Ovis aries: one gene and its partner. The protein of the gene in region 1 interacts with the protein of each later gene in a biochemical or structural test. Links are inferred from orthologs where the notes say so. Each region holds a gene or a part of one and is shown on either strand. Other genes may lie near its edges.

Evidence for each region.
Region 2: the proteins of BCL2L1 (region 1) and PMAIP1 interact in a biophysical measurement, tested with the Homo sapiens proteins (3 studies listed by BioGRID and IntAct, with this or other methods). The link is inferred for Ovis aries from reciprocal best matches to the Homo sapiens genes BCL2L1 and PMAIP1.

What each region holds. Positions count from the first base shown.
Region 1 is NC_056066.1:60,937,099-60,941,687, forward strand, and holds the start of BCL2L1 (bcl-2-like protein 1), read right to left. Parts: upstream 2,908-4,589; 5' UTR 2,868-2,907; coding exon 2,304-2,867; intron 1-2,303. UniProt on the Homo sapiens protein: Potent inhibitor of cell death. Inhibits activation of caspases. Appears to regulate cell death by blocking the voltage-dependent anion channel (VDAC) by binding to it and preventing the release of the caspase activator, CYC1, from the mitochondrial membrane.
Region 2 is NC_056076.1:59,079,455-59,083,912, forward strand, and holds the start of PMAIP1 (phorbol-12-myristate-13-acetate-induced protein 1), read left to right. Parts: upstream 1-1,364; 5' UTR 1,365-1,526; coding exon 1,527-1,584; intron 1,585-3,987; coding exon 3,988-4,094; 3' UTR 4,095-4,458. UniProt on the Homo sapiens protein: Promotes activation of caspases and apoptosis. Promotes mitochondrial membrane changes and efflux of apoptogenic proteins from the mitochondria. Contributes to p53/TP53-dependent apoptosis after radiation exposure. Promotes proteasomal degradation of MCL1.

The DNA of each region.
Region 1 (4,589 bases):
AGGATGCTAAATTTAGAGCATATCCGAGTGGAATGGTCCGTAATTCTTACATTCATGGATCCCCCAGGCACAGCCTCCAGGAAGGTTATGAGATGCCACTGCAGCAGCCAGTGTGCAGCTCAAACAGAATGGTCCCCGAGAGGAAGTGGGCGGCACCTTCTACCCAAAGGATCCCAGTGTCACATGTTCTCTATCTCCTGGCCTCGGGAAGAACACGTGCCCAGAAACGGTTCTGATATAACTGGCTCTTCTGCACACATCCCCTCTGTCCACCAAGAGGAAGTAACACATGGTATGCTGTTGGGCAAAGAGACAGCAGAAGATGGAATGTCAATCCAGTGGTGATCTAATGATCTTGCCCAGTGTTGCTGTGTCAAAGACCTCTTTCCACACGCAACACTGGGTGACTAACAACTCTCTGGTCCAGGTGGCCCTCTTAGACAACTGGCTGGCAGGCCAGGAACCTCTCCCATGTTGCCTTTTGTTAACAGTTGGCCACAACCCACATGGAATTAGGACCACCAGCCAGAGATAACAGTGAGGGGCAAATGGCCCAAGTCTCTACTTAGGCCTCAGAGGGTGTGTCAGAAACGCTGGAATCCTGTCCCTCCTGTAGTAAGTTAAACAAATATTTGCCCCTAAAGAAAATCAAAGCAGGAGGGAAAAAGAGAGGTCATCACACAAACCAACAGGAACTATTTAATCATTTATTCCCCCAGGGAGTTCATTTACTGAAAGGCTTTCAAGTTGGGTCAGTCTGAGCCAAAGAAAGCCCTCCACCTTTACCTTCCCAGCCCCACCCCGGTCATCTGACCTCTACTCTGCTCTTTATAAGAACTGGCAGTGGGAAGAGTTGATGAAGTTGCAAAGAAATGGGAAATAAGACAGGGGGTGGTGTACCTGGAGGTCCCTTGCTCAGTGGTAAACTGAAGTGGCTGCCACACCCTAGGCCCAGCCTCTGGATAATTGCATTCTTAACATTCCTGAGTCCATGGTGCGTGGCCCTTTCCACCTCAGCTCCTTCAATAGATGACTTATTTTCCACAGCCTGCTCAATTTTCTGAAGGACAGAATGAATACCTCTCTTAAGCCCTACACCTCCCTGAGGCAGGGAGATAAGCGAGGAGATATGACTGAGTTCACTGCAAGAGAGCAAAAGCTGCTGACAGTGACCACAGGTAAAGAATCCCTCCACACCAGCTCATCCTGACTTGGTGATATCAGGGCAAGGGAATTCTCTTCCCTGGCAAAGGAATGAGGCACGACTCAGTTTCAGAAGGTGTACCTGGATCTGACAGTAACTACTAGAGCAAACTTCCTGTCACTATGCTCACATCAGCTCCAAGATTTACAAGGACTGCAAGGCAAGAGGGTTGGCCACATTTTTTTAGTGGAAGAACCTGAGGCTCAAGGTAAACTGGCCTGTCCAAGGTCACACACCTAGTTAAGTGACAGGGCTGGGACTCACATCTGTGTCAGTTTGTTTCTGAAGTCTGTCACTGAATCTCAATGTCCCAAGGAGCCCCAAAGATCAGGTTCTTGCATTGCCAGCAAACAGTGCTCAGTGAAGAGGCCCCAGGGCCATGGCAGAAAAGTGACAAGCATAACAGCTGGAGCTCCCCAACCAACCCAGGCAGTGAGGTGCAAAGTCCCTGGGCTGACAGCAAGCGCTCCGCAAACTGGCCAACCACACAGAAAAGTCGCATACTTTAGAGCCAATAAATATGGGGCACAGCACAAACACAACTGGCCCATTGGCGCAGCTTACAACCTAAAATCAGACAATCCTCAGCCATCCAGAGGGATGCAAAGCCAGGCCATGCAAACTCTGAAATAAGGGGAACCTGATTTGGAGGAGGGAAGCCCAGGACAGGATTGACAGCTCAAGGGAGTAAGACTGAAGGGGCTGGTGGGTCACTGATATTCACTATCTTCTCCAGGCATTCCACTCATCACCCCTTAACGTTGTGAGCCATTATGTCAGGGTGAGGGGTAACCTGTTACCTTTGCATTCTCAAAGGTTTGGGGCCAAATGAACACACAGGCTATGTTATCTTCTGCAGAGAAACTGGAACACAAGTATGACAGAGTAGGGTCACGAGGAAGACCAGAATGAAGATGTCTGGTCCTCACAGAACTAGGTCATCTGTATTTCAGAAGTTAACCTCTGTGATACAAAGAGGCCAGTTATGTCTCCTTAACAAACAATAATAATCACCCAGCACAACAGACACAGGGGAAAGGTTGTTGGGGATTTGACCAGAAGCCAAGGAAAAGGAATACATAAGGGGCGTGGTTCTTACCCAGCCGCCGTTCTCCTGGATCCAAGGCTCTAGGTGGTCATTCAGGTAAGTAGCCATCCAAGTTGCGATCCGACTCACCAATACCTGCATCTCCTTGTCTACGCTTTCCACGCACAGTGCCCCACCGAAGGAGAAAAAGGCCACAATGCGACCCCAGTTCACCCCGTCCCGGAAGAGTTCATTCACTACCTGTTCAAAGCTCTGATATGCTGTCCCTGGGGTGATGTGGAGCTGGGACGTCAGGTCGCTGAATGCCCGTCGGTACCTCAGTTCAAACTCATCGCCTGCCTCCCTCAGGGCTTGCTTCACCGCTGCCATGGGGATCACTTCCCGGGCATCCAAGCTTCTGCTGTGGCCGGTGGCTCCATTCACCGCAGGGCTATCCGCCAGGTGCCAAGATGGGTTGCCATTGATGGCACTGGGGGTTTCCATATCTGATTCTGTCCCTTCTGGGGCCTCAGTTCTGTTCTCTTCCACATCACTAAACTGACTCCAGCTGTATCCTTTCTGGGAAAGCTTGTAAGAGAGAAAGTCAACCACCAGCTCCCGGTTGCTCTGAGACATTTTTATAATAAGGATGGGCTCCACCAGTCCATTGTCCAAAACACCTGCTCACTCACTGGGTCTGGTCTCTGCTTAGTGGTTCTCTTCGAAGATCCAAAGGCAAGACAAGGTTCTGAAGGGAAAGAAAGAGCTTCAGGGGGGAAAAAATGAATATGCAAGCCATTTACCTACAATATCCCATTCCCCACTCCAGGTACTTGAACTGGGTTCTCTGCCGCTCTTATGAAGATATGGGTCTAGCTTCCCAGGTACTTCGATGAAGTCAATTTGAAAGCACCAGTGGGCTCTGAATCATCACACCGGCCTTTTTTTCCTCCCCTTTTATCCCAGCCACCCCCTTTTCTCTGAAATGTCTTCCTCGAAAAGTCACCCCCATGGGCAGTCTGCCCCCCACCCCCATAAACCCTCACCACCTACATTCAAATCCGTCTCAGGCGACGGCAGGCAGGTGCAGCCCCCGGAAGATCTTTTGTATCATAGGTGGGAGAGGAGGTGGCAGCGGGGATGCCGGTAAGTCAACCGGCCTCGCGGCGGCGGCTGGCAAAAAAAGCAGCTCCGGCTGGAGGGATCATGCGACCCGGCGAACTGAGAGCTCAGGAGGCGACACAGGAATTACGAAGCTCAAGAACCGGCCCCCTCGCTTGCTTCCTCCTCCATCGCCCCGATCGAGGGCGGCCGCTGCCGCGGCCTCCTGCCACCCGGGAGCCCAGCCCCCTCGCTCTTGCACGCCCCTTGGCTCTCCGCCTCCTACTGGGAGCTAGGAGAACTCTCTCGGAGGTGGCTGGTGTGAGCTTTAGTTTTTTTTTTTTTTTTTTTCTATTTCAGTATCAGCCCTGGGTGAGGCTTCCGAAGAAACCTTGAAGGGACTTCTCGATGGGGCTCAAGGTTTCGATGAGAAACAGAGGGAGGGGAACACTGCCTTGGATCTGCGGTCTGAGTTTGGAAAGGCCATCCCCGGGCCTTTCTGGGAGGCTGAAAGCCGGAGACCCCCCAGAAACGCCGCTGGCTTTCTTTGAATTCCCCAAAGGCCCTGGTAGTGGCGGTGGCAGTGGGGGATTGCCGGGTCCTCCATTCCCCGCACGGACACAATGGCCGCCGGCGCCCTGCACAAAGACCGGGCGAGGGTGAGGCGCCGAGCCTCTCCACCGGTCAGAGACAAGGGTCGAGGCCTGCTCGAGACCCCCCACAGCTGAGACTACGTTTTCCTGGGGACAGGCCCAGGCTGGCTTCTTGGCACCCCCGGGAGCTTAGGGGCCCGGGGTTGCACCTCTCTAGAGGCCGGGGTGGGTGGGCTGCGGCCTCGCGGCTTCCTCCGCGCGCTAGGCCGGGTACCCGCCTGGCCACCGCCCCGTTGCTAGGCAACCGCTCTCCCTCAGGGGCGCCCCCTAGACCTTTCTGGGAGGTGGGGTCTCGCCCCCGGCGGCCCGCCCCGGCGTAGCCAATCAATGAGCTCAGGTAGCACGGAAGCAGAACGGCGAGGGCTCCCATTGGGCGCAGCGCCTGCCACGCACAGGGGAGGCGGCGCTCTCACCTGCGAGCCCCGGGAGCCGTGGGGGGCCACATACCCCCTTCATCGGCCAGGTCGTTTCCGGGCGCGAGAGCTCTTCGCGGCTAAGTTCCGCGCCGCGGACCGGGGCCGGCCTACCTGGCTGACGGCTCGCGCTCTATCTTCCGAACGAGCCGGCCTCAGTTTCCCTGAAGAGACCGGGGGAACTTGCAAGC
Region 2 (4,458 bases), on another chromosome or scaffold:
GAGAGAAGGGCTTCCCCGGTGGCTCAGCCGTGTAAAGAATCTGCCTGCAATGCAGGAGCTACAGGAGACACAGGTTGGATCCCTGGGGCAGGAAGATCCTCTGGAGGAGGGCATGGCAACCCACTCCAGTTTTCTTGCCTGGAGAATTCCATGGACTGGACAGAGGATCTTGGTGGGCTACAGTCCATGGGGTCGCAGAGTCGGACACGACTGAAGCGACTTGCACGCACGCACATACATAAAGAACACTTATTTTCTAAGAAACTGTGATTCCTGGGAAGGCCGCAGATGCGGGTAAGACGTCCTGCTCGGGATGGTGCTGCCTGGGTTCAGACCCCCTCCTCTGCTCGCGGCCTGTGTGAGCTCAGCTCACTTCATCTTTATAAACCTTCAGTTTTCGCACCCGGAAAGTAGCCACAATGGTGAGAATGTCCGCTTGGTTGGGTTGTTCCGAGGACAGGATGAGAAAGTGTCTTCGGAAGCCCTCAGAGCCAAATTCACAGGATCTGTTCTCTAGTACGAGTGACTGCTTCTCTTTATAATAATGGAATTATTCCCGGGCCAGCCAAACATCGGGCAAATACGTATTCCCAAATGCCTCATTTCTCCCCCCCCCCCCCCCCGGGGGAGCTTTTGAAAGCTGTCTACATGATGACCTACTATTTTTTGGTGTTGTTTTATTAAAGCGTCTGGAAGGAGGTATGAGACCGACCCGTAGGGAATACACTCTGCTTTTAGAACCACTGTCCTCACCCGGCGGCAGAGAACAGCCACTTCCCTTCACCCGCTTTCCTTCCCCCCACCCCCTCAACGCATTTTCCAAACCCAAACAGGGTTTCCTCTCTTGCTCCAGGCTTTTAGTTGGCAGTGAGCTTCCCAACCAGTTTCAGTTTCATTTAAGCTTCCGGCAGCTTCTCTACTGTAATTAAGTGTTCTCATTTTTCTCTGAAAACGTCCCGTACTCCTCGAGTTTGAATACTGTCCTTTCCCGAACCCTTCAGGGGTTTGTTTACGAGAGTCTGCGACTGCCCGTTTATGATAGGGATGACGCTCCAGGCCTCCCCATCTCCAGCCGTTCGCGAGGACAACCCTTCCCGGTTCGCAGCTCAGAGACCCAGCCACGCCTGCAGCCAAGTCCTCGGTCCAGGAAGTAGCTGCGGGGCCGGGTCAGGCTCCCTCCCCCGCTGCGCCCGGCTCGCCCCACGCCGCCTGGGTCCCCGCCCTGGCGGCGCCGGGCCCGAGCCGGGGGCGGGGCCGGGGGCGTTGCGGGCCCAGGGCGGGGCGGGGCATGGGCGGGGCCCGCTGTGGGTTTCGCTACGTCACCGGGAAGTCCCCATACGACCCGAGCGCGCGCTGCAGCGATCGCAGAGCTGCGAGGTTCTTGCAGGCGCCGGTTCAGTTTTTTCCTGCTCTGTGCAGACCGTCGTCTCCTGCCCGTTCTCCCCTTGCAGCCCGCGTCCTGCAGACCCGAGGTGCTCGGGTTGCATCGCTGAGTTGCCCCGGTCTGCCGACAGCCGTCTGCAGAGATGCCTGGAAGGAGGGCTCGTAGGAGCGCCCAGCCGAGCCCCACGCGGGTCCCGGCAGGTAAGGAGAGCTGGGGCCCGCGGAGATCCTGGCCGGGAAGGGGGTCTGGGTCGCGGTCTCGGTCTGGCAGGGGCAGCCCGTCGCCCCGGGGCCTAAGAGCCCGGCGGGACCCGCGCCGTGGCACGTGTTTTAGGGGCGCCTCCGGGACGCTATTCGCGGGTTTAACCCGGGGCGGTGGGGATGGCGAGGGAAGGGGTGAGCCTTGCGATGGGGATGCTGCTGCGTTTGAGCGGCGGCCGAAAGCCTCCTCTCCTTCGCCTGCCTTCCGTCCGCGCTCGCCCTCCCCGGGGCCACGCGGAGAAAAGTCATGGTCACGGCCCGGGGGCTCCGCTGGCGCTCAGCGCTTCCGGAGACAGGCCCTTTTCCTCCGGGGTCCAGCACCTTTTGAGGACCCTTCTGTGTGTCTGACCGCTGTCCCCAGCCCCAGCACCAACAATAACGCTTGATGCCATCACAGTTCTGCAAAGGACGGATGGAGGGCTAAGGAAGCCCCGAAAGGACCAACGACGTCAGAAGCCTGGAAGGCCTGGCTTCTTCGTTAAAAGCATAACATTTTAACAGTCGGTATTAATCACAGAAATGCCATAGAGAAAAACAGGAGATGGTCCACAGTGTTGTTTAATCCATCCCTTCCTCCGCCCTTCCCCATCCATGTAGCCCCATTAAGTAACTTCAGGTCAGCTCTCCTCCTCCCCGCTTTTATAAATCTTATCAAATAAGGCAGACATCTGCTAAGGAGCAGTAGCAAGGAAGTAAGACCGTGGGCTGGAAATCCGTGTGGGTCACACTGCTGTTGCATCAGACAGTGTTGGGCCCCTTTTACACTTAATTTTATGGAGCCCCTGGGGCGTGCAAAGGCAGTGGTGCATAGCCAGTGTGGCCGTGGCTAAGTTGGCACAAGGCTGCTCTCTGGCTCCTGCTTCGGAGGGAAGAAGCTTTGTCCATCTTTTGTGATGTCCAAGAGTTCTGGCTGTGTTGCAAGAATTGCATAACCTTCACGGTCCAACTTGGCCCCCCTTAATAAGGGACAGCAAAAAGGTCCCTCTTAAACTTGATTAGATGGTAAGACAAAAAAATTGAGATGTAAGTGAGGTAGAACACTGTCTTAGTTTTAGGTGTACAGCCTAATGATTTGATATATGTATCAATTGTGACATTATTACTGTAACAACTTTAGTTAACATCCATCACCACACATAGTTATGTTTTTAATTGATACATTTATAGATGTAATAAAAAGATTAAGGAAACAACTAGGTGCCATTTTCTTTTTTTTTTTTTGATGAAAGGGATAATTTTTTGTTACAATTCAGGTCTTTCAAAACGGTAGGCTGAACGATAATTGTTTTTTTAGCATTGTGTTAGTATTTCTAACTAAATACCCAGCTCTTGTAAAAAGAGAATTTGGTTATTTTGAGCCTAAATAGGGAATTTGCAGGGACTGTTTACAAAGTAAATCAGTTTTTAATTTGTAGTCATAATGGGTTTTAGTGATCATGAACATGGTATTGAAATGTACGAAAAAGAAGCTGAATTGCTTTTTGAACTATCCAAGAAAATCGTAATTATGGTCAGTATTGGTTTGGTGTTGATTTCACTTACTTTAAAAGTTTACTTAGAAATTAGATTATAAATATTACTTTCACCTTATATTCAGTTTATTACAGTATCTTAATCTTAAAAAATAGTAAACATGTGAACTAAACATTATTTGTTTTTTGCTTCACTCATTTCCATAGAGGCAGTGGATTGGTACAGAGTGGGAAGAACTTGTTTTAAAATGTTAAGTTATTTTAGAAAATAGGGACTTAATTTTAGAATAAGCTGTTATGAGTCTTTCATGAGAAAACTTGAAAGAGTTGTTTAAATAATTATATGAGGGCACAATCAGAACTATGAATTATTGCCATTTACAAAATGAGCTGTACTTGAAAATAACATAAAAGAATTTAACTTTTCTTTCCCTAGCCAATCTTAAGTGAGAAAGAAAAGGATGAGATCACCTGAGGCTGTGAAACTCACTCACTCTTTGTGGTGTATGACATAAATGTCTATATTTGAAAGTAAGATAACATTACTTCATCCAGGATGCTCAAAAAAAAAAAAAATCACAAGTTAAATGTCTTTATTTTTGTTTAATTATTTCTTATATATATATTTGTTTAATTATTTATATTTGTTTAATTATTTAATTATGTTGTTTATGAGTCACTATATGTTAGTGTATGTCGTGTGTGTATAAGTTGCTTTTCTTTCTTTACATTCAGAAAACAAGTGTATATGAAGTTAAGATAATGCTTTATGGCGTAAATACTCAACTTGTCCTTGGAATGGGCCTATTAACTCTTGCTGGTTGCAGTTTGCAATGTCAGTGTAACTTTGATATTTTGCTTTCCTTTTCAGATCCTGAAGTTGAGTGTGCCATTCAGTTGAGGAGAATTGGAGACAAACTGAATTTCCGGCAGAAACTTGTGAATCTGATAGCCAAACTCCTCCGCTCAGGAACTTGACTTAAGAAGCGTTCGAATGAGGAGACTCCTTTCAAAGGAAGATTTCCCATTAGGTGCAAATTTCATCAATTAGAGGAGAGACTGCCTTGTAATGGGGAAGAATGTGAAGGAACTCTCAGTTGCTTTTGAATGCTCTTGGAAATGAAGATGGATGCATGAATTTTTGTCGGAGGTTTGCCAGAAGTTGTTGTTTGGGACTCGAGAACATTAAAAATCCACTTTTTATTTTAAAACAAGAATGGAGGAGCTTTGAACATGGGGAATCAATTCTTTATACATTTTGGTTTTGTTTAGAGACTTGTTCTAGTATTTTTGCTGAAGGTTGCTGCCCAGTGTAAGAGGAGCTGACACATGATTATGGATT